Linked DNA regions of Ovis aries. The protein of the gene in region 5 interacts with the protein of the main gene of each other region in a pairwise test. Links are inferred from orthologs where the notes say so. Each region holds a gene or a part of one and is shown on either strand. Other genes may lie near its edges. The genes, in order: CDS2, cytochrome b-245 chaperone 1, CGRRF1, TSPAN4, CREB3, NKG7 and UNC50.

Region 1 (3,747 bases), on a different chromosome or scaffold from region 5:
CTGTAATTATCTGAAAAGACAGTGCTAAAATAATCTTCTTTTTTCAATGATGTATCCTTGTAGGACTGGATTTTCTTCATATACTTCAAACAAAACATATTGCTGTAGACTGAACGCATAATATGTTAATGTCCTCTGTTAAGCAGTATATTAGAGATTTAGCAGAAAGAGAACTCCTAAACCAGTCTTTTTTTCTAATTTTGGGGGGAGATATAGTTTCATAAAGATGTGGTTTTTTGTCTTTTTTTTTTTTTTTAATGGTAACAAGTAATAAGCCTGGGCTTGCAGGCATCTGAACTGATTTCATTTGTTCTTTTCAGAAAACAGTGCGGATGTACCCCTTCCAGATTCACAGCATTGCCCTCTCTACTTTTGCCTCGCTCATCGGCCCCTTCGGAGGGTTCTTCGCTAGTGGATTCAAACGAGCCTTTAAGATCAAAGTAGGAAAACCCTTTTTGTTCCTCTCATTGTCTCCCAGCCAGGCCCCTTTTCACCGTCTCTGCCTTCCTCCTCCTGTCTCACCTCATCAACTACCACCCCCTTCAGAATACCAGACTGTGAACCCTGACTGTTAATATGTACTCTTCACCCATGCATGGAATTTAAGTAGGATAAAGGAAGATACCTTGTTTCTAAGAAAATTCTGTGGTTGGATTTCAGTTTTATGATAATTTTTTATGTTAATCTTTCTTCAAAAGAGATGTTTTATAATTTAATAGGATTGTATACTATAGCTTCAGCACCTGAATCAATACTTTTCACTTTCTGTTGCCCTCAGCTGTAGAGTACAGTAGGTGGACACTGAGGTGTGACCATAGACAAGGCTTTGACTTGGATGAAGCCAGGCTCACCAATCCTTTCCTTCCTCTAACAGGACTTTGCCAATACCATTCCTGGCCATGGAGGCATCATGGATCGCTTTGACTGCCAGTATCTGATGGCCACCTTTGTCAATGTGTATATTGCTAGTTTTATCAGGTATAGTACCTTTCTGTCTGAACCAAGTTGGCGGATTTTAGAATTTCATCTACTTCTCAGTTTGAGTGAAAAAATCCCAAATATGAATGAAGTTTTCAGTTGCTATTAGTTATGGATTCTCTGAGGTCCCCTCCTACCCTCCATTAGTAGAGGATCCAGGAAGGGAACAGCCACTAAAATAATCAGGCCCTTGAAGTGCTTGGCTCCTGCTTTGCTCAGTGTTGTTTGTTCATCCTCTTGCAGGGGCCCAAACCCAAGTAAGCTGGTTCAGCAGTTCCTGACCTTGAGGCCAGATCAGCAACTCCATATCTTCAACACGCTCAAGTCTCACCTGACCGACAAGGGGATGCTGACAGCTGCCACAGAGGACAAGTAGGGGCCACCCAGGGCCAGGAGAGCCGAAACAGGGCTGAGTGAGGGGCAGGGCTCCCAGGCAAGCCTAGCTGGACAAAGACAAGCTTCAACTCACTTTTTTTTTTTTTTAAACCAGTGTTTCTATTTGTGGATTGAAAAAAAAAATCTACAGTGTATACAGTCCATATGCTTATGATTTGGGTTGTGAGTAACCTATAGCTTTGAGTTGGAAAGAAGTCAATTTTTGTTTTTAAAACCAAAGCTTTTAACATTCTGGAAGACAGTGTTGCCCAGCTCTGGAGTGCCTGCTTGGTGCTTCTAGCTCCTAAGCTGGAGCTTCCATTTCTGGGCCTGATCAGAGTGGACACTCATTCATCTGTGTTTGTCTAGTTTAGGCCCCCCACCACCGACTGTCTTTGTAGCTGACCCCCAGCAGGGAAGAGTTACACAGCTTGGATGTCTTTACTACTGGAGTGCTTTTCCTGGGCTTCTCAATAATCCCTGCCTTGGAGCTACAGGAGGGTTGCCTTCTGAGGGAAGAAGGATGAAGGCTTATTAATCAGATAGGCATTCTGTTCATGAAATCCTGTGGACTGTGAGCTTTGCTTTTTGATATGGATTCACCTCACTTCATCACAGACTGAAGAAGGTTTCAGTTTTAATTTTTTTCAAAAGGCATGAAAAATTATAATAGTCTGGAAAAAAGCCACACTGTTCTATTTCAAGTGTATGCAGTAGGATGCTGTAACTAGGTCTTTTCCCACAGGGTTTAGGCTCAAGTGGCTCCTATAGGGCAGTTGGCTAACTGGGTCTTTTCAGGGATGATGCTATTCACATTTGTGCTATAGACTTGTTGCTGCTGAATCCTTTCTGGGGGCTTCCTCATTAGGCAGGGAGCAGAGGGCTTCTTGTTCACACACCCATGCCCTTGACCTGGCTGACCACCCATGTAGCTGCTGTGTTGTATATATTAATATATATATATATATATATATTACTCTTAAGGCAAGTGTATATCTGTGTGTGTGCTTTAAAAATCACTTATTTCTTACAGTGATTTCAATTACCATGACTTCTTCACTGAAACCACAAAGTCCTGCTTACAACTCTGCATAACCCAACCCAGAGGTTTGAAGCTTCTGAAGATTAAATGCACACTTGTATAATATGACCAGTTTAAATGTAGTTTGTATTTTACAGCGGGACCTTTTTCTTTTTAAATTGTGATTTATTTATTTTTTTCTTTTAATTAGAAGAGTGAGGTTGACTTTTGGAATATACATTCTTTGTCAGGATAATAAGCAAGGGGGTAGAGGGGAGAGAGATTGGTGCCCAAATGTGTTTCATTATTCTGTGCCATGGTGGTTCTCATTGCCAAACGGGGGTATAACAGCTTGTTTCAGCACCTTGGGCTGGTGCTGCTTTTCTTTCTTTGTGTTTATCTCAACCTTACTGTATCTGTGGACGCTCGCAGCCAGCCCAAATCACTGAGGTGTCCAGCACAGGCCAGACCCCTTTTGATGTCTGTGTTCACAGTCACTGTGTGACCGTCTACGTGCAGTAGCTTCTTTCTTCTGAACTTTTATTTCTGTTTCAGTAAATGGCTTTTCTAAGTCTAAGGCCCCCTTAAAAACAGAATGTGTGTTCAGTGCTGGCCATGTGGCACTGGGCAGGACACATCACTGTGGGTTCTCGTTTTCTGAGCTGTCTTCTAGTTCTCATATTCCATGATTCTGGCTGAGCAAGTATACGTACTTGCAGAGGCTGCTTGCAGGTGTTGAGTCATGTCCTGGGCACGCAAAAATTAAGTGCTTACACGCCTTTTCTAAATACTTTTCCTTAAAATGCTTGTCCTCAGCAATAAATCTTAGAGTGGAGCAATGAATCTAGTTTTCTGAATGAAGAATGAACTTGGTTCCCCAAACCAAAGATAGAATGGCACTTCATTTGTCTCATGGTGTCCCCCTGTGGGCAGATAGGTGGGTCCTTGGGGACAGGAAATCTCAGCTGGGACCTGGCAGCAGAGAGCCACCTTTGGGATCAGGGAGCCTGGCACATACCTGTGGACATGGCTGCTGATGAGGGTTCCAGGAAATGGCAGCTGGAAGCTCAACAGAGCTGCCATCCAGAGAGCCTGAGGGTCAGCTAGGGTTTTGTTTCCTTCTGGTTTCCCACATGCTTTCTGGTGAAATAGGGGAATTTCGTAGGAAGTAGCCAGGAGACAGACACCACCTTGTGTCTATATAGCACACTGATTTTCTTTCTCCCGTTTATTGAAAATCTTTCACTGAACAGACAAGCTTCCAGAGACTGTTGTAACACACAGCTGTGCACATCTTAATGAGTGGCATAACTTGCTCTAGATCCATTTTTTTGTGTGTGTGAGAAATAAAATGTGACAAATTGTATGCCCTC
Region 2 (4,535 bases), on a different chromosome or scaffold from region 5:
TTCAGCAGGATTTTAATCAAATCAGCCATCATTTGTTCTCTCATTTAACATTAATAGAAAGCCAGTGTAGGCTTCATTTTTAAATGGCTTGTACTCTGGTATAAAAGGTTAAATTATGTCAAGGACTGTAATGCAAAGTGGAATTTTCTGGGTATCAATTCAGTTCTCCCTAAATTCTAAGGAATTAAGATCACAAGCAGAGAGGACTTAAAGGAGGTGCTAAGCAATTCAAATAGACCTTCAAGATGGCGGTAATCTTACCACAGAAGGCATTTCAAGGAAATAGAATGTGGGCTGAGGCATCAGGTCAGGGAACCTGCCACATTCTTGCAGAACCTACTTTTGTTACAGCTCTGAGCTTAAGTTCTCTGGGTGTGGTTCTCAGAGCAGCAGGCACCAGCATGAGTACATTTCAAGCCCCATCCATTGCTGGAACAGGTCCAGTGGTCTGTGTTTCAGTAGCCCCACCAGGTGATTCTGAACCACAGGCAGAGTACATAGAGACTGGTGAAATAGAAAAGTCATCCCCCAATTTTTGACATTGTGCCTATATTGGTAAAACATCTAGGGTTATGCATACCCATGTGTGTATATTTCTTTATACACTGTGTATAAGTCTTATGTAAATTATAGGACACATGAGAATAGACATAAAAAGATAAGTAGGAATACAAGCTCTAGTATGTTCTTCCAGCACTCTATAGATCATCTTGACCGTCCCAGTTTGGAGGCCACTGATGCAGTGGCTGTGCGGTAGAGGCTCTCCTGTTTCAGGTAATCCTCTAGTGGGAAATAGGCAAATCAGGGTCCTACTTGGGGCCTCATCTGGGGGCCCTGGCGGTACATTATGAGTGTTTTGCTGGAGAGTGGAGCAGGGAGGCCACCTAAGCGGCCATTTCAAGGTATTCCTGGAGAATATGATCTCTTACTACAGTCCTCCTTCCCCTACAATGGGGCAAGTTTAGGAGGAGCAGAAAAACTGCCCTCACGAAAATGTGAATTTCCCAGCTACACTGAGTTTTTTTGGGGGGGTCAAGGATCTCTAGTTCTCTCCTACCCTCCTCCACAGTGCCTTGCAGCGCTGTGCCGATTTTTCAACCTGTTGATACTCTTACTAGGTTCGCAATTCAATCTACAGAGCAAGTTGGGAGAATTCACATTTGTACTATAATTTTCCAAACCACGAACAACTATTTTAGTTCTATTTTAATGCTTCCCATTAAAGTTTTTACAGAACCTACCATAATGTTTGTATGTATCTGTTGTGAGCTTAAATATATACTTCACGTTTCCTTACCATCTTAAATGGCTGTCCCGTGCTTACAACTTCACCTGCCTCCGCTGATCTTCTAAAGACTGCAACCCCAGGCGCTCTGTGCTGAGTGCCGGGGTGCGCAAAACCCATGACAGCCTCCGCAATCTCTACTGATTGGTAGTCAACCTCATTCTAGAGCCCCGCCAGCCCTCTTCTCTCGAGGGCTAAATGGAAGCCCCGGAAGTCAGGACCCGCGCGCCTCGCCCCGCCCCCGAGTCTGGAAGTCTACTGTCCCATCCGCCCCCGCGGGTCCGGAAGTCAGTTGGTCCCGCCCCCAGCTCCGGAAGTTGGAGGCCGGCGCGTTTTGAAGTCCTGCCGGTCCCGCCCGTCCCGCCTCCGCGCCTGCAGGTTTGTGTCTGCGGTGAGCGCCCGGGCTGTGCCACGGTTGCGGGTTGGGGGGCGCGGGGTGTGCTGAGGGGCGGCTCCCGCAGCCGAGGTCCTTCCGGGAGCGCGGTCTTGTGACCCGGCCCGGGTCGATGCCCCGGGGGCCTGGCAGCGCTCGAGGCTAGAAGGGTGCACAGTGTGGCCGCAAGGGTCAGTGGAGAGTGTCCTAAGCGGCTCGTGCAGGTGACAGGAGTGATCTCGCCCCGCGGGCGGCCGAGTCGCGTGTGGAAACAGGCGAAGCGTGTCAAAGGGAGGGAGCCGGGGATATCGCAGGATCTTGGCTTCGTTTGTGTGAACTGAATCCACTCTTTGTTGTCAGAAATTTGACAACTTTACAGAGAACACCTGAAAAGCTACCCAAAACGGGGCCCCTGGAGCCAGCATTTTGAACGTATTGCAGGGCAGAATTCTCCACTTGTGGAAGATCAGTCCCCTTTGCTGACTCGTTCATTAAGCTGGTGCTCCTGGCCGTCCAAACCCTCCGCTGGGTGCGGACTGTTGTCTCCGCAGCTGCAGGAACTGACTTTTCGATCAGTGCCTCTCATCAAACCATGACGAGACTTTCAGTTCTCTTTTTCATAGGCCTGTACAGGGAAATGAGGGTGTTCTGGTACGTTCTGATAGGGTGCCAGAAGTTTGGAGGCTGCTGGGGGCTAACGGTTTCCAAGAGACTGAGGTTTCCAGGTAAGAAGTGGACAGGTGATGATCAAATGTTGAAGCTTTGTGAGCCAGAGCAGGGGACATAGCCCCAGTGCAACCACTATATCTGCGCAAAGAACCTTCCTTACAGAGGACATGGGTCCCTAGGGGGTTGACTTGCCTGACCACAGGACAGCAGTCAGCACAGGCTGAGTGGTTTCTGAACCTGTGTGGACCTTGTCAGTGGGCAGCTGGGCATCCTGTCCTGGAGAGCAGCTGGGTTCTTGTCTGTTAGCAGCGGCCCAAGGGCTCCAGCTGTCTCTTTGTGTCCTTCCCTAGGCGCCCTGGTCTCTTGTTGAAGGTGGTGGCAGCACGTTCCAGGGATGTATATGCAGGTGGAGACACGCACCAGCTCCCGCCTCCATCTGAAGAGGGCTCCAGGCATCAGATCCTGGTCCCTGCTGGTTGGTAAGGATGTTCATATTTCTCAAGTTAAAAATCCAACTTTACAAAAGGATGAAGATTAAACTAAAATTTTCCTTGGTTCTACTACCCCAGGAAATAGCAACTATTATGTCTTTCCAGCTTTTATCCTTTTCGAGTGCTTTTACAGAGGGTCAGTCTTGTGTTTTTTCACCATTTAACATCCTTTGGTTAATAGTCTCCATGCTCCTGTGAGGTCCCTGTATTTCCTTTTTTGTTTGCTTTCATAAGGTTAGGGCCTGTGTGATGGAGACAGTAAGGAGTAAGGGTGGGGAGGCCCCTGGTCCTGTACCCTGTCAATCCCCATTGCCCTGCACTCCCTGGGCAGCTGCACATGTTAATTGGAACTGAGGTGTGAGGGGAGGTGCTGCTGCACCTTCGGCAGCCTGGCTCTGGGCCTTCTTTCCCGGGACTCTTCCTGTTTCGTCTCGTGCGGGGTTGTGATTCTTCACCTGCAGTCTTGTCTTCATTCCACACCATGTGCTGTCAGTGGATGAGACCCACATCAGGTTCCTCTTTCTGGTTCCCCTGTCAGCTCTGGAACCTCAGCGTAGACATGTGACCAGTGAATACTGTGACTGAGGTAGAACATTCTTGTAAACAGACTTCCTGGTTGTTTCCACAATTTCTGAGCCTGGCGGTTTTCTTGCCCCCCTGCTCCCTGCTCTTAGCCATCCCTGGCAGCAGGGGGGGCTGCTTACCTGGGTCTGCGGGTCATGGGAGGAGGTGGTCTCTGGGCTAGTGGTGGCCCAATGGAAAGGGACTGGTTTTCTCCCCACAGGAATCTTGTCGATCGGCCTGGCTGCTGCCTACTACAGTGGAGGTGAGGAATGGCATCTGCCCTGCCCCGCCCCATCCCTAGGAGCTTCCTTAGCTGATTGGAAAATAAGAGAAAAAAAGGAAACCCTGTCATTTGTAATCTGATAGGCATGATTTGGGGGATTGTCCCTGCCTCTAAATGGGGCTTCCCTGGTTGCTCAGATGGTAAAGAATCTGCCTGCAGTGTGGGAGACCTGGTTTCTATCCCTGGGTTGGGAATAGCCCCTGGAGAAGGGAATGGCTACCCACTTCTGCCTAGGAAATCCCATGGACAGAGGAGGCTGGCAGGTTACAGTCCATGGGGTCATAAGGAGTTGGACTTTCTTCCTCTAAATGGTTTGCAGGCGTGGTCTCACCTTCATGCGCTTGTGTGCCCCCCACAGCTTGCATTCATTTACATCAGCATTTTCATGTCATAAAATATGCAGAAAGGCACTCTCATGTCTGCCTCAGGTCTTGTGGCAGGAATAGTCTATGCTTTCAGCAGCTCCCTGGAAGTAGTCCCCCATCTCTGCTCTCACACACGGTGCCATGATCGTAATCTCGAGGAGTCACCCACGTGGAGAGCTGAAGGCAGAGCTGGTGGACCACATCCTGCCCTGTGTGACAGGGCCCACAGTGCTGGATGGCCTTGGCAGGGGTGGGGTGTCCTTGGAGGCATGGGCAGTCAGCTGGGCCCTCAGGGGCCACTCCTGCCCAGAGTCTGGGAAGCAGCTGTTCTGGGAGGAGGCACCCCCTGTAGGCATGTTGACTTTTGCCCCCCTGCTACCTGCCCATGGCTGTCTCCTGTGTTTGCTCCCCAGATAGTCTGGGCTGGAAGCTCTTCTATGTCACGGGCTGTCTGTTTGTGGCCGTGCAGAACCTGGAGGACTGGGAGGTGAGGCTGATGCAGGAA
Region 3 (4,232 bases), on a different chromosome or scaffold from region 5:
GCCTGGCTTGGAGAGTTTTGAGCATGTGAGATGAATGCAATTGTGTGGTAGTAAGCATTCTTTGGCATCGCCTTTTTTGGGGATTGGAATGAAAATGGATCTTTTCTAGTCCTGTGGCCACTGCTGAGTTTTCCAAATTTTCTGGCATATTGATTGCAGCACTTGCACAGCATCATCTTTCAGGATTTGAAACAGCTCAACTGGAATTCCGTCACCTCCACTAGCTTTGTTCGTAGTGATGCTTCCTAAGGCCCACTTGACTTCGCATTCCAGGATGTCTAGCTCTAGGTGAGTGATCACACCATCATGATTATCTGGGTCGTGAAGATCTTTTTTGTATAGTTTTTCAGTGTATTTTTGTCTCCTTCTCTTAATATCTTCTGCTTCCATTAGGTCCATACTATTTCTCTCCTTTATTGAGCCCATCTTTGCATGAAATGTTCCTTTGGTATCTCTAATTTTCTTGAAGAGATCTCTAGTATATATGTGTGTATATCACATATGCACACATATTTTAAATTATTATTAAAGTGAAAATACAAAAATTCAAATATTTAATTTTTTTCAAGTATCTAATTCTAATTTGAGGGGTAGAGGGGGACGAAGAAAAGAAGAAAGGCATATGGGAAAACAGTTGATTTATTTCTCAGAATCTTGACACCCAATGCTAACTTGCCTCTAGCATTAAATCCAACTTGAAAAGGCTGACAAGGCGCCTAAAAAGTGCTTGGGGGCCTCTTTGGTGTTTTCTACAGTGCCTATTTGTTAAGTTTTGTGAACAGAAAACAAGATTTGGTGTGGGGTTATTTTACTTTGTAGAATTTAAAATGCCGGTTCTCCTCTTCCTGCCACATCTCTCAGATGTAATAGGCAGGATCTCAGGATTTACGCTCTGTGACGTGGATTTCGGGCTGAGTCTTCTCTCTGGCATCAAAACACCCTACCTGAGTCTTGGACGGAGTCCGCACCAATATCTCTTCCGACTTTGCCGCAGAAAACCGTGGACCGCTAGGACAAACAGCCAAAGAATACGCCCGCGGGATATCAAACCCGGGAGCCGGGGGCGGGGCGAGCCTGGGCCCCGCCCCTCGGCGAAGCCGGTAACTCGGCACAGGAGCGGGAGGGGCGGGGCGAGCCCTGCAGGCGACCCCGTGATTGGCACGCAGGCTCCCGCTCACGGCGAGGCTACCCCTACCTCTAGCCTGCAGGAGTGCTAGGCTAGTGCGGATCTACAAAGTTTGTCCGCTCCGGGGCACCGTAGTGGCTTTTACGCTGGCGGAGAGGGCCCGGCTGAGCTAGGCTGGGCTGGCCGGCAGGAGCCCGGCTCAGCTTAGGAGATCCTGATGGCTGCGGTGTTTCTCGTAACGCTCTATGAGTACTCGCCTCTTTTTTACATCGCGGTGGTCTTTACCTGCTTCATCGTGACCACCGGCCTGGTGTTGGGATGGTAAGAGTCCCCAGGGCTATGGGCAAGTGGCGTCGGGGCGGACAGCCGGGGAGATGAGTAGCAGCGGGCTTCAGGGTGACTGCTGGACTGGGGCTGTCGGAGAGCCAGTGCTCAGGGCTCCCACTGGCTCAGGAGGAAAACAAGGTGGACATCTACCCGCATCACTGCCCTGCATCATCGTCCGATCCCCGTCGCTGCGGGTATCTGGGGATGGTGCAGGATTGAGGTATTTTACCCAGCTTTTTTCTAGGTGATAAAGTAGCCAGTAAGGGCTTGGTCTTGGTGTGAGGATAGAGAGGCTGTCCAACAGGCTTCTGTCCGGATTTGGGGCCTACTGTGTGCCCGGAGTGAGCCCGTCATCTGCGGTACAGTCCTCAGACGTGGATAGTAGACCCAGTTGTTCGTTGCTCTTCTGACGTGAACTGAGCACTTGCCGTGAGATCTTCCAGCGTAACTTACAACTGAACTCTGAACCGTTTGAGAATGTATTGATTTCTACACACATTCCACACCTTTTGAACGGTGAAACTATAAAGACATAATTTTAGAGCTGGAAGAGACCTCAGAGATAAGTTACACTAAGGCATAAGGGCACTTCTCTTATTGGAGACTAGGAGAGTAGACTGTTAGCTCATCCGTGAGCCATTCTAGCTCAGAGATTCTAAAATTTCTCTCTCGAAGAGATGCCATTGTATCATGTTTAGAGTCGTCTTATACTATAGCTAGCTGAAACCATCTTACAGGTCCATCCTTTGAAGAGAGAGACATGAGCTGGATTTTGAAGAGTGAGTATTTTGAAAAAGAACTGGAGCTAAATGTGTATAGTAGAGAACAGAAGGCATTTTAGAGATTACATGAACAGAGGGTCAGAGGAGACATGCTAGTGAATAGAGCAGGCTGTGTAATATGAGTTTCAAAATACCCTTTGAGCATGTATATGTGATTACTTTGGGCTTCCCAGGTGGCTCAGTGGTAAAGAATCCACCTGCCAATGCAGGAAATGCAGGAGATGTGGGAGATCCCCTGGAGGAAGAAATGGCAACCCACACCAGTATTCTTGCCTGGAAACTCCCATGGACAGAGGAGTCTGGGGGGCTACAGTCTGTGAGGTTACAAAGAGTCGGATACCACTGAGCAACCGATCATGCACATGTGATTACTTTAAAGAAAGAACACAAGCTCTTGTCAATTTCTGAAAATATGCCATCTTTAGGAACTAAGTAAAGTTTTTAACATTTTCACACTGCTTTCCACGTTGTCAGCAGTAGATTATAAAATTCTTTCTTGGTTGGTGGGGGAAGAATAGGACCAATTTTACACAATCTGATATTCTTGACACATCAGAATTTCTTGCTGTTGTTCATTTCAAGAAAGTTTGTAATTGGAGTTAGGAAGATGTTGTCTAAGTGAGAAGAGATGTCTAAACACAAGATTTTTATTGGCTAAACTGTTAGTGTCTTCAAGAGTATAATTTTCCTCCATTAAGGAAAATAAGTAACCAGTTGATAATTGCATAATATCCTTAAATTTTAATTTTTAATCAGCCTAATAATTTTAAAATTAATTTTCAGTTGGCCTGATTCAACTAATTAGAGATTGTAGATATCTGTCTTTAGTTATGGGAGGAGGAAAACTAGTAAAGACCTATTGATAGTGATGGTGGTGTCTGTAAGTGAAGGGTAGTTCAGAACCTCATGCAGGGGTGGTAAAGAGACAGACTTTGGAGTCAGACAGGTTCAAATCCTGGCTTTGCCAAATTTGAGACTTGGTTTGAAAAGTTAATGATTATCCAAACACTCCATTTAAGTATGACTTTTCCCTGGTGGCTCAGAGGTTAAAGCGTCTGCTTGCAATGCAGGAGACCCAGGTTCAATCCCTGGGTCAGGAAGATCCCCTGGAGAAGGAAATGGTAACCCACTCCAGCATTCTTGCCTGGATAATCCCATGGACGGAGGAGCCCGGTAGGCTACAGTCCGCAGGGTCGCAAAGAGTCAGACATGACTGAGCGACTTCACTTTCACTTTCTTTACAAGGATGGAGGCCCGGATAGTTGTAGAACTTTGAGAAGTCTGAATTAAGCATGGCTGAGGCCACAAAACTATATAGTGCCAGTCACTTCCATCCTGATTTGGCCCTAACCAGTCATCTTAAGCTTAATCCAGCTATTCTCTCCATATGGGTTAGCTTTGCCCATGTAGATAACCTTATTATTATTATTTTAAACTAGCGTTTACAGTGAAGGCCATCTAGAGCTCCTCAAAGTAATTTTCTAATAGTACCCCCAGGCAGAAGGCAAATGCATTAATCCACTATGCTTTTTCACTGTGCTTGTCATTTTCTTTAAGCTCCCCCAATATAATTTCTGTTGGGCATCTGTCTTCTCTGTCATGGTTCTTACCTCAGTACTGCTTTGCAAAACCCATTGCTTAGTTCCTTTCCCTGTCTTTCACACTGTGTGGGAGTAGAGAAAGAATGGAAGCACCTGACTGTTGGAATCCCAGTGGCAAAGAATAATACAACTGAAAGTATTGAATTTCTGTTTAACTACATGATGGTTTCTGTGAGCTCTAATACTCAGATTTATCAAGCTCTAGCTATTTTGCCAGGCAGTGTGCAGAAAGGAGGCCGGAGTGCTATATACATCCTTAAATAGTTTCAGTTAATTCATGACCCTGACTCTGCAGTTGCTCTCTGCTTCCTCTTGACTGCAGATTATTAAGCTATTATCCTTCTGTACTTTGCTTGGTGACTGTGGGGCAGAACCTCTAAAGACCTTTCTTCTTTG
Region 4 (4,199 bases), on a different chromosome or scaffold from region 5:
TGGGCAGAGCAAGAAGCCCTCGCCCAGCCCTGCCAGCCCCAGGCTGGGCCTCTGGGACCCTCTGGGGCCCAGGGCAGGGGCAGGAGGAAGCTCGGGGGAGCGTGGGCACCTACCTGGCCAGACCGAGGCCGAGCTCAGAGAAGGACCTCCCCAAACACTGACAGTGCTGGCCCGGCGGCCTCGGAGGCCTGCGGCAGACGGGCCCCAGCAGAGCCAGTGAGCGGGGCCCCAGCAGAGCCAGTGAGCGTGCCCGCACCTCAGGGTGCAGAGCCGGCCGCCCAGCCCGGGCCCCCAGGTTGCCAGCTCTGAGGCGACTGCGAGGAGCCAGGAGGCCCCGCCAACACAAACAGGCCTGCGGAGCCGGCCTTCCTGCTGCTGCTTCAGCCCCCGACCCCGGGGGAGGGGCGCACAAGCACCCGGGCCCACAGGCCCTCCTCCCGCTGGCCTGGAAGACACTGCCTCCAGGAGAGGTGCCCCCGGGAAGAGGCCACCCAGAGGCCTCCAGCGCTTCCCCAGGCCCAGTGAGGACAACCCCGAGGACAGGGGCTCCCCTCAGGACCCTCCCGCCACCCTGGGGCCTGGCAGCTCCCTTCCCCACCTGGGCACTGACACTCCAGCCTGCCCCCTACACACCAGTGCCCTCTGGGAGCCCCACGCACGGCCGAGCGGGCCATCCTCAAGGACCATGCCCATCCACAGGGTCACGAGGTTGCACAGCTGGCCGGCAAACACCGCCAGGGACCCCAGGGCCCAGAGGGTCACCGAGGGTGCAGCAGGTGGGCGACTCCGTCAAACCCTGACGAGGCATCCACGCCCCCTGCTCACCACACCGCCCCCCACGTGTGAGCACAGCTTACCCAGAGCGGCCAGAGCTTGGGCGCTCGGGGCTGCGCTGGGATCCTGCCCCTCCACCTGCGTGGCCTCCGCCCCCCCCCCCACCCACAGAAGGGGAGGCAGACGCTGTGGTCCAAGACGGGGCGCAGGGTCAGCTGCCTCCTGGGCAGCTCCGTCTCTCAGGAGGCGTTTCCAGGACAACACCCGGGGCACAGGGTCTCAGCGGCTGAAGCTTTGATCGTGGATTTCCCCTTGTCCCCCGCCTGCCCTGAAGTGACCCTCCTCTGGCAGGAAGTAGGGCGCACGGGTTCCAGACCACGTGAGCACCACCCTCCCGCCCTGTGCCCCCGCCCCTGGGGGCAGGAACCCCCTCCTCGGAAACCCAGCGCCTCACTCTCCCTGCCCATCTCCAGGCCAAGCCCGAGGTCTGGGCCACATCTGCGCTCATCCCCAGGGCCCCCACCACGGGCCTGTGCCACCCCGGCGCCCCCATGAGTGCACCAGGCCCCTGGGATGCTCTCTGCCCCTGCCCACCCTGAGGACAGCTGGACTATGCCCAGCCTGCCCCCTCAGCACCCACAGGGAGGGAGAAGGCCCAGCGGGGGAGAAGGCTGACGTGAGGCCCCCCAGGGTCCTCAGGTCCAGCCTGGCCAGGCCTGAGCCAGGGTGGGGTGGGCACGGAGGCCAAGTGCCCAAGGGGCCTCTGAGCACACGTGTGCTGGTGGCCTGTGCCACCACGCTGCTCAGCAATCCCCTCCTGGGAAACCAGGGAGCTGCAGGGAGGAGTCCCCCCCGCCTCAATCCACACGCAGTTCTCGGAATTCCAGGAATGTCCACTTGGCTCTCCCGCCGCCCCCCAGTCTCTGGGAGTAAACAGCCACTGCGCCAGAACGAGGTGCGGTGGACCACGGGGCCCTCCCCCAGGAAGCCTGCACGCACCCACCCCCGCTCTAGAAGAGCCTCCCGCCTATCCCCCTCACCTCTGCAGACGCAGCTGCCTCTACAGCTGAGCCTGGGTCCACCCCAGGCCACTGTGACTCAAGGCCCCATCCCAGCCGGGGACAGGATGTGCGTCCAGTCAGCTTGGGAAGGGGGGGCAGGCAGGGCAGGGAAGTGGCTTCTGCTCGTGGCTCCGCACGTGGCAGGGTGGGGGACGGCGAACCCCGCTGGGGAGGGTGGCCAGAGCCAAACTCCAGACGCAGAAGTGCTGGCCAGCCTCCCTGGGACCTCCACTCCCAGCCCCTTGACTTACAGTCAGAGTCCACCACCCACCCCAGGTGGACTCTGAGCTAAAGCCTGGGACCCAACATGGTGGGCCCACCCCCACCCCCCACCCCAACCAGAGACCCTGACGCCCCAGGCCAGCAAATATGAGGAGACCCTGCCTAGGTGCCTAGCCCACCCTCCTCAGCCCAAAGCTCGCCTCCTCCAGGGAGCCTTCCTTGCTTCTCAGTGCACACAGCCCTCTCCCAGCCGCCAGTCACAGGATCAGGGGGCTCACCTCTCGCCACTTCCCGAGACACAGCCCCCGCCCCCGCCCCCCCCCCGCTCCCTTTAAACCCCCACCGCCTCCAGCTCCCACAGCTTCTGTCCCGCACGGACGGGTGTCTGTCCGGCTCCCTCTTTAAGTCTCAGCTCAAAAGACACCCCGAGTGCCCTCCCGACCCTCAGAGCCGGCGCTCCCGGGTCACTGGCGCCCGCCCCTGCCGAGCGCGGACTGGAGCCTGGGCCGCCAGCGCCTCCCCCGGGAAGAAGGCAGGAGGGGGGGCCAAGCTGACCGCGGCGACGGCCGGAGCCCCCACCGGCTGGGTCGCCCCGCGCCGCCCGCCTGCAGGGATACGGGCAGCTACCGGGCCGGGACCGTTACTGTGCAGGCGACCCGGCCAGGCGGCGACCTCGAGGGTCCCTCGGACTCTGCGCAGAGACCCCCGAGTGCCCGCGGGCAGCGGCCCCAGGCGGAGAGGCCGCCCCCTGCCCGGCCCCTCCGGCCGCTCTCCGCGCCCCAGACCCGGCTCGCAACTTGTTGCTGAAACGCGGCTCGCGCTCTGCGCTCGGGGCCCCAGTTCGCGCGGGCCCGGCCGCACTCCGCCCGCGGCCCGGCAGGGGCGCTGTACCTGCCTCGCGCCCGCCGCGCGGAGTCGGTCGGCCGGGCACGAGGAACGCGAACGCCGCCGCCGAGCCCTTGCGGCCCCGCGCGGACGCCGTAGGCCGGGACGTACCAAGGCGCGGGCGGGGGGCTCCCGCCGGGCCCCGCCCCCGGCCCCGGCCCCCGGGCCCCGGCCCCCGGGCCCGCGCCCGCCGGAGGAGCCGCCGTCGCGGCGGGAGGCGGATGCCGGCGGCGCCGGGGCCGCGGGGAGGTGCACGGGGCGGGCCGGGCCGGCACCCCCGCGCCATGGGCGCGCCATGGGCACGCCGGGGCGGAAGCGCCGGGGGATCCGGGCGTCGGGCCGCCGGGCCGCGAAGCTTCTAGCTCCCGCGCCGCCGCCATGATCATCCCCGTTCGCTGCTTCACGTGTGGCAAGATCGTCGGCAACAAGTGGGAGGCCTACCTGGGCCTGCTGCAGGCCGAGTACACCGAGGGGTGAGGGGCGCGCTCCCGGCCGCCGGCCTGCGGGGCCCGGGGCGGGGAGGGTTTCCCAGCCTGCGCGGCCCGGGGCGAGGACAGGGGCGCCCGGCCTAAGGGGAGGGTTTCCCAGCCTGCGGGGCCCGGGGCGGCGGGACGGGGGCCCGGCCTGCGGGGCCCGGGGCGAGGACAGGGGCGCCCGGCCTAAGGGGAGGGTTTCCCAGCCTGCGGGGCTCGGAGCGAGGACACGGGGGCCCCGGCCTGCGGGGCCCGGGGCAGGGTCAAGGGGGCCTAGCCTGCGGCGTCGGCGTCTCGGGCGGCTGTCGAGGATCCAGGCTTGAGGGGTTGGGGTCTTGAGGCGGCAGTCAGGGGTCTTGGTCTCCAGGTCAGGAGCAAGGGACGTTCATCAGATCCCAGGTGACGCCGGCAAGGCTTTTATTCCCGGAGCCTTTGCCAGCCCTGTTCTCCAGACCTGCTCTCAGGAAAGCGTCTCCCACCCCCCAGTTCAGGCAGACGAGGGGAGCTAGTTGTCAAGCGCTGGTGTCTGGGGACTCGAGTATTCTGGCTCCACGCCTCCACCGCAGATAGGCCCCTGGCCACCTCTGTCCGTCAGCTCCCTAAGTTCTCCCTGCTATTAGGCCCACCCCGTGTCCTCAAAGACACTGATGCTGGGCAAGATGGAAGGCGAAAGGAGAAAGGAGCGGCAGAGGAGGACGCGGTTAGGTAGCATCAGCAGCTCAATGGACAGGAGTTCAAGCAAACTCTGGGAGATAGAGGAGAACATGAGCTCAGCGAGCTGCAG
Region 5 (4,228 bases):
TCCTCTCTGCCTAGAATGCTCCCCACCCCCATCCCAGAATCATATCTTCTATCAAATGCCATCTGCCACATGAGGTCTTACTCCCTCTCTTCCTCCTTGATACTTATACTTGTGAATTTATTCCCCATTACTGTGAGCTTCATGGAATCAGAGACCCACTAAAGACCAAGCATCAGACATATGTGAGAGATGCCCGGTGACAAATCAAATATGGAGCAGGAGAAAGACTGAGACAGTAGTAAGCGGGAGGGATGAGCAAACCCTGATGTGAAAGAGCTGCTTACAGATTCTGTTCCTCCAGGAGCTGTACTTTGTTCTGTAGCTCCAGATTCTGGGCTGTGTATTTCAGGACCCTGGAGGAATAACAGGGATGTGGGGACATGGCCTGTATCCTCCCTTCAAAAACCTCACACTTCCAATTACCTGTTTCTCCCACCCCCGAGTCCAGCTCCCTTTCATACCTGCTTTCTAAACCCCCCACATACACCTTCTTCTTCCTACGGCTCTCTTGAGCAGACTTTTTGTTTCGAATCTTCCTCCGCACTCGTTTCAGGACTTGTTCCTCCATCTGGGAGAAGACAGGAAAAGGGATCCCATCAGAGGAACATTAGACCAAAGAGTTTGAAGGCAACCGAGTTCAATCTTCTCAAAGCAGAGATTCCTTCTACAATTTCCCTGACCAATAGGCACTCTGCTTCTGTCTGAATGCTTCTGTCCTCACAAGCCAAACCATTGTAACAATTTTGTTAGATAATTTTTTTTTAAAACCTTCCTTATGAGCCAACATCTGCCTTTGTTATTTCTACCTGTTGGACTTACCTAGCACCTAATCTCTGGGGCCATAATAGAACAAAGGTCTTCAGCTATTTTAAAGCACTTGGCATTTCTTCAGAGTTAAAAAAAAAAAAAAAAACTGGGCAAAAATTTTAACTCATCATCTTATCTCTTCTCAGGATGGACTGCATCTTCTTAATATCTGTCAAAGATAATAGGCTCAAAACTTAAGAAGCTTTTTGGCCAATGTAAAAGAAAACAAGATAGTTACTGCCCTTCTAGTGGCAACACTATTAGATAACTGGTATCTGATGATACAACTGGGCTTCCCCAGTGCCTCAGCAGTAAAGAATCTGCCTACAATGCAGGCGACTCAGGAAACACAGGTTCCATCCCTGGGTTGGGATGATCCCCTGGAGAAGGAAATTGCAACGTACTCCAGTATTCTTGTCTGGGAAATCCCATGGACAGAGGAGTTTGGGGGCCATAGTCCATGGAATTACAAAGAGTTGGACACGACTTAGCGACCAAACAACAACAACTAAATCTGATGATACAGCTTCTAAACCCCATTCTCTTCCTTAGTAGCCATATCACACTGTTGACTCAACTTGTACTTTTTTTTGGCCACACCTCGCACTTGTGGAATCTCAGTTCCCAGACCAGGGGATTGCACCCTGGTGCAGACCAGGATTGCACCCTGACCCTGAGCAGTGAAAGCACAGAGTCCTAACCACTGGATTGCCAGGGGATTGCCTCAACTTATATTTTTGAGAAATTAAAATTGTTAACCTTTCTGTTAACAGACATTGATTTCATCATAGTATCACAATACTGTGCATGTGAAACTGCCTCTCATTGCTTGAAACTCCAAATTTCACATTTACTCTTGTTATACTACTTAATTGTTATACTACTTGTTATACTACTCTAATACTTGATTTACTATTCAGCTACAAGTAAATTGCATGAAACCAGTGAAATATAAGTATCAGAGCCCCGCGCTTGTACAGTACTTTCCAAATCCCTTTACTAATATTACCCTGATAATTTTGAATTCTTAGTTAAAAAGAACACCAAAATTTATAAAAGCACTACAAACCAGGATCTGTCCTTGCAAGCAGTATACTAACCACATGCCCCAGCTTCCTACTCAAAAATGTGCTAATCTCTCACCTCAATTCTTTTTCAAGTTACTGATACAAAATTAACAGAACTGGCCTACTTGGAACTCACAACCCCCGTCCCCGCGATGGGAGACTTACCTTAGTGAGTGGAAGCATCCCAGGCAAAGTAAGCCCCTCCTTCTCCAACAGCCTTTTCTCCTCCTCAGTCAGTATCAGCCTAGCAATCTCCTGCGGTTCCGGAGAGATGGGCAGCAGAGTTGCAAAGGGATTTCAGAAAGTAACGCGGAATACTGCCCCGACCCGCGCAATACGGAAATAACCCTCCTATAAGTCAAGTACCTGATCTGCCGGCTCCTCCACACACAGTGGAGTCATCTGAGTCCCCTCTTTTCCATAGCTCTCATTATCTGCAAAAGGGAAAATATGAGTAGTCAGGCCTCGGAGTCCTCTCCTTTCCCAAACTTCACTTATTTCAGGCTTACCTAGATCTATGGAGACATGCTCTTGTGAGAGAGAATAGGTGTGGTCATGCTGGACAAGACAGGAGTTAGAGCTGCTGAAAACGTTCAACGATGATGGGGGACTCGGCAGGCAGCTCAGGAAATCCTCCACGTCCCAATCGCTCAGAGACTGCACAGGGTTCAAATTGACAGGCTTTGACCATCACCACCCCCTGCCTCAGGGACACCCCTACCCCGCCCACAAACCCGCCTCACGCCTCCCCGACTCAGAGCCCCCCACTCGCCTCAGAAAGTGGCAGCTCCCAATCCGGCGGAGACGCCAAGGCCTCGTCGGGCGCCGCACCCAAACCACCGCTTTCCTCTAGCAGAAAGCCTAGCAGGTCACGGTCACCCGGGTCCAACGCCAGCTCCATATGAGACATTTATGGAAAAGATGCGCAGAAACACAGGAGTTCACCTCGCCACCCGGACCCTATCCCCAACCAGGCGTAACCGCGACGGACTGTCAGTCGGCCCCACCTATCGGCTCTTCAGCGGCGTTTTCCTCCTAGCTGCTGGCGAAGGCTCTGAAACCGGGACACGCCTTCCAGACTCCACTCCCCGCTAGACTTCCAACAGAACACAAGTGACGCACCTACCCGCGAGGCATGCCGGGAGTTGGAGTCCCCCACCCCACCCCGACGCGGAGGCTGCCGCTGTACGCGCCACGTCCAGGGCGCGATGCAAATAGAGGGGACGTGCCTTCCGCCTCCGCAGTCCCTGAGGGCGGGCATTCTGAGGAAGCGGCTCCGCCCCGGGCTAGAAAAAGGAAGGATTACAGCCTAAAAGGGAACTAGGGCGCAGTTCTGGCGCTTCCTCGGGACTGCACCGCACCCTCGCTTCCGGCTGGGGAGGGGCTGCCGGTCGTCAGCGGGCTCCCGAGCATCGAGAGCTGGGGCCAGAGCAGCTTCCTGCAGTGCCCGCGACCATAGAGCGCGGGCCCAGGGCGCCGCCCGCGGGTGGGGGACGTTCCCGGGACGGAAGTGGCCGAGAGTGTCGAAGGGAGGGCGAGGCCGCAGCCCGAGAGCCACCGGGAGAACGAGCGGGTTAGCGGGCCGGCGGGCGGGGCACAGAGCCGGGCAGCGCAGGTAGGCCGGACCGGGCGAACTGGGGCCTCAGGGTGGGGCCGCGACACCAGGCCTGGGAGGCGGGCGGGCAGGGCCCCTGACTTCTGCGTCTGTTTCGGGTCATCTTGGAGAGGTTCGCGTCCGGTGTATCTCTGCTTGTGCTCTGAGTTAAATAGGCAGTTTTTCGGCAGCCAGGCCCTTCCTGGAGCAGTCCTCGGCCTAGGATAGTTTAGAGGGAGGGTGAGGAGTGGGTGGCAGTGTGACGCAGGGCGGGGATCGGCTTTGAGGTTAGCTGATAGCGGGTACGTGAGCAGGAATGGGTGAGTTGGAGATTAGGTGGAGTTGGGTTTTAGGAGTTAAGGTTAGCTTTAGGAGTGTGCAGCTGGGGTTAAAATTTAGATTTATTAGTGTGAGGTGCGTTTTGTGTAGGTGAGGTTTGGATTAAGGGCATTATTTTGTTTTCTATAACGACCAACATTAGAGTTCAGGTTAAGGGTCAACAACAGAAACTAAGTTAGAAGTCCAGATTTAGGGATTAGAGAAGGTTAGCATAGCCAGTACAGGGGATAAACAAGAAAGGGGTGAATCAGGAATCAAGTGACAAATGAACTTTAGGTTTAGGGATGAAGATTCAGGGTTAAAGGTCCAGAGTTGATGCTACAGGTAAAAATTAGATCAAAATTAGGGATCAGGGATTGGATTCAGGTATGTGGTAGGACAGGGATGCCTGTCAAATCCAGTACTGGGAATCAGGAGACAA
Region 6 (3,603 bases), on a different chromosome or scaffold from region 5:
GCCCGGGTTCAGTCCCTGATTGGGGAACTAAGGTCCCACAAACCATTTAGTGAGGCCAAAAGAGAAAATAGGAGAGAGGTGGTGGGGAGAAAAAGGAAAAACAGAAGATCACAGATGGGTTCCGAGCATGTGATCATCACATGCCCTCAGCCCAGACTTCCTGAAGCCTGTCCAGCTGCTCCTCACAGGAGCCGGGTCCATCACCGCTTTCGAGATGGTGCCCCAGCTGTCCATGACCAGGATCTCCTTCCAGGAGCCTGTCCTCCCAAGCGTGTTCTCAGGAGTGACCAGTTGCCCAGGTGGTGAGGATCTAGATGGGGGGCAAACTCTGCAAACTGGAGTCTCCAGCCAAGGAAGAGGACCGGCCTCCTGCAGCCACTCTTGTTCTCCCCTTCGCCGGCTGTCCTGGGACTGTCGGCTCAGTTCCTCTTTGGGACAGCAGTCCTGTTCCAGGTCACTCCTGCTTCACAGAGATAGGGTTAGGGTCTGCGCCTCCCCGCTGGGCCGTGACACCTTCCCCTTGTGCCTGAGGTGGGGCCCAGAGCCTGACGCTGGTTGAGGTGAGGAGAGCCGGAAAGTCTTGCCCTGACATCCTTTACCCATCCCCCCTCTCCCCCTGACCACAGAAACCCCGATCCCGGCGATGAAGCCCACCAGGCTGAACGCCTTACCCTCGGCCGAGCTGTTTGTGAACTCATTTGTACCAGGATGTGGGCACGTCTTCCCCTCTGCAAACTTTCAGAACTGTGGTCACTATCTACCTTCCCCCCGGCACAAGCTCCAAGCAAGGAGCCAGGAGTCTGAGTTCAGCACCTGGAGTCTAGGCTTCTAGCACCTTCCTCATGCAGCGCCCAGCATCCTTGCCAACTGCCCCCTCTCTTTTTTCAGAGACCCTAGAATTAGGGGCCCCCACCTCCCAGAACGGAAAATTGCAGAATTACAGGAAAGCATGATGCATTCCCCCACTGTCTCCCTCTAGTCACACCTCCCCTCCCATCTAACTCACACCCCAGCCTCACTCACCGCATGCCCCCTCTGCTCACTCCTCTACCCACCTCCCATCTCTTTCTCTCACCTTTTCCAGGAAGCCCCTCTGGTGCGGAGGCCCCCAAGGGCAGCATATAGAGAGGCTTCTGTGGAGACAGACAAGTTCCAAACCAGTGACAATGTGACATCTTCAGGGCCAACCCCCGCCGCCACCGTCCAGGGTGAGGGAAACCTCAGAGAGGGGCGGGGTTGGGGGGACGGGTGTCGATGCAAGCCAGGAAGGCAGGGTGTGTCACACAGAGCAGCTGCCCTGGACAGGCTGAGACCAAACGGGCCTGACGTTGAGGAGCAAAGACCACCCCCCAGCCGCCCCTAGCGCTTGCTGGTTTCTCTTTCTTGAGACCAGAGGACCCAGGAATCTGGGGCGGAGGGGGAACAGACTTCCTCCTCTTTCAGAGACCCAGGAGGCTAGATCACCAGCCTCGTCCTTGCCACCCAGGACCCAGGAACCCAGACTTCACCCCCATGGAGCCCTGCCGGTCCCTGGCCCTCCTCACCAGCTCCCTGGGCCTGGTGTCCCTCTTAGTGGCTCTGAGCACGAATTTCTGGTTTGCAGCCCAGGGGCCCAAGTCTTCATCTCACTCAGGCCTCTGGCCCAGCAAGGATCAAGTCTCAGTAGCAGGTAAGGGCTGGGGGTGTGGTCTTGGTGCTGGGAAAAGCCTGCGGGGACGGGCAGTCAGAGGTCCCATTTCCGAGCAGGCTACATCCATGTGACGCAGAGCTTCTGCATCCTGGCCGTCCTGTGGGGCCTGATCTCCACGGCCTTTCTGGTCATGTCTTGCATCCCTTCGCTGTCTGCCCCCGGACGCGGCCCCATTGTCTCCACCTTCATGGCCTTTGCTGGAGGTGAGGACTCCGTGCTGGGCTTGGGGGCGGGGAGGAGGGGTGCTGAGGAGGGGGAGCTGCTGCAGGGGGGCTGACCCGACCCTCATGTCTCCATCCCCAGCCCTGTCCCTGATAGTGGCTATGACGGTCTACACCATTGAGCGGTGGAACCAGCCAGGAAACCCCCAGGTCCAGAGCTTCTTCGCATGGTCCTTCTACCTGGGCTGGGTTTCAACACTCCTCTTTCTCTGTACAGGTGATTGTGATTGCTGCCTGGGGAGTTCTGGGGCTGGCTTGAGGGGCTGGCTGGGGCTGGGGTGGGGGCTGGCTGGGGGAGGGGCTGGCTGGGAGGGTTGGGGCTGGCTGGGGGCTCTGAGGGAGCAGGAGAGGAGCAAGTATCTAACTTTTCTCTGCTACCCCAGGTGGCCTGAGTCTGGGTGCTCACTGCACGACCCACCGGCCTGGCTACGAGGCCATGTGAACCGCAGGATGGCCTTAGAGCTCTGTTCTCTGAAGGCATCATCAGGAATCCTGAAAGCAACAGCTGGCTCTCCTTCCAGCCAGCCTGCCCTGACTCTCAGCCTCCACAAGCTTCTTCCTTTGTAGCTTCATTCATTCAACAAAAATTTGCCGGGATCTGGTTATTCAAAGGGTCATGCAGCTACGACATAAACTGATGACATGCCAGCTCCATGGTGGGTGACGCTGGGCACCCAGAGGGGAGTCAGTCCTGCCACCCGCCCTGCCCTTCGGGAGCTCCTACCCAGTGTGGGGACCAGTCTAGGCTCAGACATGGCCTTAGGGTCCTTGTTGTCTCTCTTCTTTGTCCTTCCATCTCTTTTCTTCCCTGTGTCTTTTTTTTTTTTTTCCTTTTTGACTGCATGGCATGCAAACTTCCGGGACCAGGGATTGAACCTGCTCCCCCTGGAGCGGAAGCACAGAGTCTTAACCCCTGGGCCAACAGGGAGGTCTTCCTTGTACCTTCCTCCTTTTAGTTCTTGTCTTTTGGCTCCCTCTCTGATTTAGTCACCCTGGCGTTCATCCTTAGTCCTTGTTCATTTCATTAATAAATTCACTCCTTCGGCTGGCTTTTCCTGAGCGCATCCTTTCTGCTGGGCCTTCCACCGTAGATGCCGAGGTGACTCAGACTGGGCCCTGCCTGCCAGGGGCTCCAAGTCCCACAGGGGCAGGCAGAGCCCAGGGCTGGTATTGCAGGAGGACTGGCTGTGTCTGGGGGAGAGGTGGGATGTGGGGGTGAGCTTTCTGGGGAGAATGTGTTTAGGAACTTCTCCAGGGATGAGGAAAGGTAATGCAGGCAGAGGGACCCCAAAGTGGAGGCATGGAGAGGCTGGGAGTTCTCACAAGATGGGGAACAGCACTTTGTGGTCCACTGTCGAATGTGAGAGGGTGACAGGAAATGAGGATGGGTGAGAAGTAGCACCTCTAACCCCACAATTGACTCTCTTGAGGGTGATAGGGAGCTAAGGGTGGAGCAGGGGAGGGACAGCATCTGGTTTGGGTGCCAGAAAGCCCCCCACTCTGCACCCTCTGGAGGCCAGAAGGGGAGAGAAAAAAGACTGCAATCCAACAGGAGGGACACGAGACATTACAAGGTTGCACTGGGGCCAGGGCATGAGAAGGAAAGGAGGAGCCAGAAAGATTCAGGGCGGGGGGAGGGACTTCCCTGGTGGAGAAGTGGACAGGAATCCGCCTGCCAGTATAGGGGACACA
Region 7 (3,454 bases), on a different chromosome or scaffold from region 5:
TCACTTGTTTTAGGGCAGGAGTCTCTCAGTTGTCCTTGACTAACGTTTTCCTCTGGCACCCACTGTGTCGTACGCTACTCTGGCTGTTCGGGCCTCCCAGCTGTAGTTGCCCCCAGGCCAGGGCCCCCGCTGCCGCCAGCCTCTCGTCTCCTCCTCGCAGTGACCTCCCCCTCCTGCCTCTTCGCTTCCATTCTTGTCCCAAGGGTCTGTTCTCAGACCGCAGCCAGAGGAACCCCGTCAAAACAGTAAGCCAAACGTCCTTTTGGGAACTCCACAGTGACTTCTTATTCCACCAAGAGTAAAAGCCAAACGTCTGCAGTGGCCACAGGGTCTATAAGATGCTCCCTTTTCTTCTCCCATTTCATTCCCTGCTATCTTCTCACCAGTTGCAGGCACTCTGAGCCCCTCCCCCACCCGTGCTCAAGACTCCTCCTGCTCGGAGGGCTCTGCCCCAGGGGTTCCCATCGCTGCCCCTGGTTCTTTGCCCAGATGTCACTCTCGGGACTCTCGTCGTGGCTGACATGTCACCTTTGCAGCCCCTGCCCTGCTGTCCTGCTCAGTTTTTTCCTAGGGCCGTCTGACTGTATTGTTGTCAGTCCACTTCCACTAGATTGAAGGCAGACGTTTGCTTACCACCATCTCTCCAGTGTATGGAATAATGCTTGAGCTATAGAAGACAGCCAGTAAATACGCATGGGGTTAATTTTATTGTATTATGAAAGAAATGCTATAATTTTTTTCAGGTTTATCTCCAATAAGTATTTAGTGAAACGGCAGAGCAGAGACTATGATGTGGAGTGGGGCTATGCCTTTGATGTGCATCTGAATGCTTTTTATCCTCTCTTGGTCATTCTGCATTTTATACAGCTTTTTTTCATCAACCGTAAGTAGCAGTTTCTTCTAAACTTGTCATCAGAAAGTCTTCATTGTATCCACTGAAAAAAGATTCATTGTCCATGTCTCTTCGGCAGATGTCATCCTAACAGACACATTTATTGGATATTTAGTTGGAAATACCTTATGGTTGGTTGCCGTTGGCTACTATATCTATGTAACTTTCTTAGGATACAGTGGTAAGTAATTGATTTTTCTCCTTGACAACACTACAGGGAGGGGAGAAGTTTTAACGGTGATACACTGAGCTTTTATGGAGCTGGTACTGTCGCTGGTGTTTTACATAAATTCTTCCAGTTAATCTTTAGTTATATGATACAGGTTTACTATTCCCCATTTTTCAAATGAGGAGACAAGCCCAGAGAGATTAAGTAATTTATCCATGGTCCCATAGCTCCAAAGTGGCATAGCTGGTACATAACAAACTTTATAATTTCAAGGAACCATGTTAAACCATCTGATGCTCTCCAGGTTTCTTGCAGGAACCCATGACGAGTTTTCTTTTCTCCCAGGTTTTTGGGTTCTGGGTTTCCAGCAGTCAGTCAGATGAGGAAAGGGTTGGGTCCAGTGTATGGGCATGTTTAAAACCTTTACCGTATTTTCTGTTTGGGGGACGATTGTGAAATACTCTTCATTTTGTAAACATCTGTGTTGGTCCCAGGCCACCTGCTGGACTGGAGAAGCCTAGGGGTGGGAGATACTGGGGATAATCACAGAAGATCAAGCCCAGCTTCTGCTGCACTCAGGATATGTTTATAAATTCATTACTCAATCCTGCTATCGGTTCGTCTTTCATAGTATGAATGAGAACCATGTTTATTTTTCTTCATGTAAAGAAATGACTGCTGTTAAGAGTTAAATTTAGAGATCTTATGATTTGTTAGTGTTATGTGTTGTAGCTCTTTCCTTTATTGTCCCTCTAGATGATTAGAATCTTACTGTAAACCTAGGTCACTTGGACTCACATGTGACTGATTCCACTGGTCAGAGAGTCCCCTTGACTTTGTCAGGAACCACTTGCCCCCCCCCCCCCACCTCCAAATTGTAACACCTTGTTTTGGGCATTGGGGAGGTCCTGTCTCTCGTTCGGGGGAGATGGAAGTGGATTTTGGAGCACTGTCCTGGTAACTCACTACAATTTAGAAGATTCTTTGGGCACAGCTCAGTTTCAGTTTGGGGACTACTTGTATGAGAAATACTTAGATTTGAATGCATGGGGTATAGACCCACTATCAGGAAGCCGCAAGTGAGAAAGAAGGAAACACAGATATCTGGGGGTGGGTTTTATATTTGAGAGCTTCATTTCTTTCCTAAAGTCTGGGATTACTAGTTGAGAGCTCACTTTCTCCAAGTGGAGGTGTAACACTCCCTCGGTTGGGAAATCTCAAACGGCTGAAAGCTGTTTTTCTCCTGTAACGTCACCCATGTCTGCTGGTACATTAAGATGGGAAGCTTCTGAAGCATCACAGGTTTCAATTCACCACTTGATCCATGAATAACTGGCGATACTGACTCTCACCCTTAACCTGAATCCTGGCCCTTTTCCAGCACTGCCATTTTTGAAAAACACGGTGATCCTTCTCTACCCGTTTGCACCTCTCATCCTGCTCTACGGACTCTCACTAGCCCTGGGCTGGAACTTCACCCACACGCTCTGCTCCTTCTACAAGTACAGAGTGAAGTGAGCCAGGGGGCCCCTTACATCTGAGCAGCAGCAACAGTATCGGTGAGGTGGTGATTTCCTGTGAAACCTGTAAATAAACTATCATTGTAGATATCTTAAAGGTACAAAGTTTGCAAATTTGAAGAACTATAAATGTTAATAGTACATTCCTTAAAACTGATTAAATGTACATTTCTACAATAAATATTTTTTAAACTAAAGTGTTACCTTTTATTCATAAATATTTGCACACAGAATGATATACAAAGTACTAAGGCTATAAAGAAAATACAAAGGTGAAACTTTTTAACATTATTTTTGAAGGCGTATCCACATAGTCATATGTGTGCCATCCCCTCCCCAGCTGTTACTGACAAGGTACAGAGTCACCCCCATTTCTAACAGGCTGCATTTTAAACTTTTATATAAGCCACAGGGTCCTAATTTAAGCTTTAAAAGTCTCCTTAGGAATCACTGAACTACAGGCTGTAAATGTCACTAATAGCCATTGTTTATGCAAAAAAAAAAAAAAAATACCCAACTGAAGACTCCCCCAGAAGCTCTTCTTACTCTGGGAGCTGCATAGCACACTTAAGGTGGGAGTGAACCTCTGTGTAACACTGATAGTCATGGTCTTAACGAAGGCTTTTTTTTTTTCTTTAAAGACTTTCCAAAACACACAAATCTACTATTGTTTTCTAACAGGAAATAGTCCCGGTAAGCTATTATATATCAGTGTTAAAATTATAATAATAAAAAAGCTTGGTACTCATGAAGTTTTACCTGTTTTTTATTAGGAGTCTTGAATTCAACATGGCTTTTTAAACTTCTTTATTTCAAATACACATGAACGGCTGTGGCACAGAGAAACAGTGATGAAGGCACAGTCAACGGGAC

The links.
Region 1: the proteins of CREB3 (region 5) and CDS2 interact in a two-hybrid assay, tested with the Homo sapiens proteins (2 studies listed by BioGRID and IntAct). The two-hybrid records come from large-scale screens. The link is inferred for Ovis aries from reciprocal best matches to the Homo sapiens genes CREB3 and CDS2.
Region 2: the proteins of CREB3 (region 5) and cytochrome b-245 chaperone 1 interact in a two-hybrid assay, tested with the Homo sapiens proteins (2 studies listed by BioGRID and IntAct). The two-hybrid records come from large-scale screens. The link is inferred for Ovis aries from reciprocal best matches to the Homo sapiens genes CREB3 and CYBC1.
Region 3: the proteins of CREB3 (region 5) and CGRRF1 interact in a two-hybrid assay, tested with the Homo sapiens proteins (2 studies listed by BioGRID and IntAct). The two-hybrid records come from large-scale screens. The link is inferred for Ovis aries from reciprocal best matches to the Homo sapiens genes CREB3 and CGRRF1.
Region 4: the proteins of CREB3 (region 5) and TSPAN4 interact in a two-hybrid assay, tested with the Homo sapiens proteins (2 studies listed by BioGRID and IntAct). The two-hybrid records come from large-scale screens. The link is inferred for Ovis aries from reciprocal best matches to the Homo sapiens genes CREB3 and TSPAN4.
Region 6: the proteins of CREB3 (region 5) and NKG7 interact in a two-hybrid assay, tested with the Homo sapiens proteins (2 studies listed by BioGRID and IntAct). The two-hybrid records come from large-scale screens. The link is inferred for Ovis aries from reciprocal best matches to the Homo sapiens genes CREB3 and NKG7.
Region 7: the proteins of CREB3 (region 5) and UNC50 interact in a two-hybrid assay, tested with the Homo sapiens proteins (2 studies listed by BioGRID and IntAct). The two-hybrid records come from large-scale screens. The link is inferred for Ovis aries from reciprocal best matches to the Homo sapiens genes CREB3 and UNC50.

The regions. Positions count from the first base shown.
Region 1 is NC_056066.1:47,098,045-47,101,791, forward strand, and holds part of CDS2 (phosphatidate cytidylyltransferase 2), read left to right. Parts: intron 1-320; coding exon 321-440; intron 441-874; coding exon 875-978; intron 979-1,221; coding exon 1,222-1,354; 3' UTR 1,355-3,747. UniProt on the Homo sapiens protein: Catalyzes the conversion of phosphatidic acid (PA) to CDP-diacylglycerol (CDP-DAG), an essential intermediate in the synthesis of phosphatidylglycerol, cardiolipin and phosphatidylinositol.
Region 2 is NC_056064.1:49,808,115-49,812,649, forward strand, and holds the start of cytochrome b-245 chaperone 1, read left to right. Parts: upstream 1-1,575; 5' UTR 1,576-2,383; intron 2,384-2,677; 5' UTR 2,678-2,721; coding exon 2,722-2,806; intron 2,807-3,602; coding exon 3,603-3,644; intron 3,645-4,443; coding exon 4,444-4,517; intron 4,518-4,535. UniProt on the Homo sapiens protein: Functions as a chaperone necessary for a stable expression of the CYBA and CYBB subunits of the cytochrome b-245 heterodimer. Controls the phagocyte respiratory burst and is essential for innate immunity.
Region 3 is NC_056060.1:65,103,918-65,108,149, forward strand, and holds the start of CGRRF1 (cell growth regulator with RING finger domain protein 1), read left to right. Parts: upstream 1-1,259; 5' UTR 1,260-1,343; coding exon 1,344-1,447; intron 1,448-4,232. UniProt on the Homo sapiens protein: Able to inhibit growth in several cell lines.
Region 4 is NC_056074.1:46,913,032-46,917,230, forward strand, and holds the start of TSPAN4 (tetraspanin-4), read right to left. Parts: upstream 3,011-4,199; 5' UTR 2,949-3,010; intron 1,870-2,948; exon of another isoform or gene 858-1,869; intron 108-857; exon of another isoform or gene 1-107. Other genes in the region: POLR2L (DNA-directed RNA polymerases I, II, and III subunit RPABC5), read left to right, coding at 3,321-3,415. UniProt on the Homo sapiens protein: Structural component of specialized membrane microdomains known as tetraspanin-enriched microdomains (TERMs), which act as platforms for receptor clustering and signaling.
Region 5 is NC_056055.1:52,808,298-52,812,525, forward strand, and holds the start of CREB3 (cyclic AMP-responsive element-binding protein 3), read right to left. Parts: upstream 2,931-4,228; 5' UTR 2,785-2,930; coding exon 2,647-2,784; intron 2,532-2,646; coding exon 2,384-2,531; intron 2,309-2,383; coding exon 2,241-2,308; intron 2,130-2,240; coding exon 2,040-2,129; intron 569-2,039; coding exon 462-568; intron 354-461; coding exon 285-353; intron 1-284. UniProt on the Homo sapiens protein: Endoplasmic reticulum (ER)-bound sequence-specific transcription factor that directly binds DNA and activates transcription. Plays a role in the unfolded protein response (UPR), promoting cell survival versus ER stress-induced apoptotic cell death.
Region 6 is NC_056067.1:57,519,848-57,523,450, reverse strand, and holds NKG7 (protein NKG7), read left to right. Parts: upstream 1-1,281; 5' UTR 1,282-1,512; coding exon 1,513-1,669; intron 1,670-1,746; coding exon 1,747-1,893; intron 1,894-1,993; coding exon 1,994-2,128; intron 2,129-2,294; coding exon 2,295-2,353; 3' UTR 2,354-2,961; downstream 2,962-3,603.
Region 7 is NC_056056.1:102,628,208-102,631,661, reverse strand, and holds the end of UNC50 (protein unc-50 homolog), read left to right. Parts: intron 1-743; coding exon 744-883; intron 884-971; coding exon 972-1,073; intron 1,074-2,442; coding exon 2,443-2,579; 3' UTR 2,580-2,778; downstream 2,779-3,454. UniProt on the Homo sapiens protein: Involved in the cell surface expression of neuronal nicotinic receptors. Binds RNA.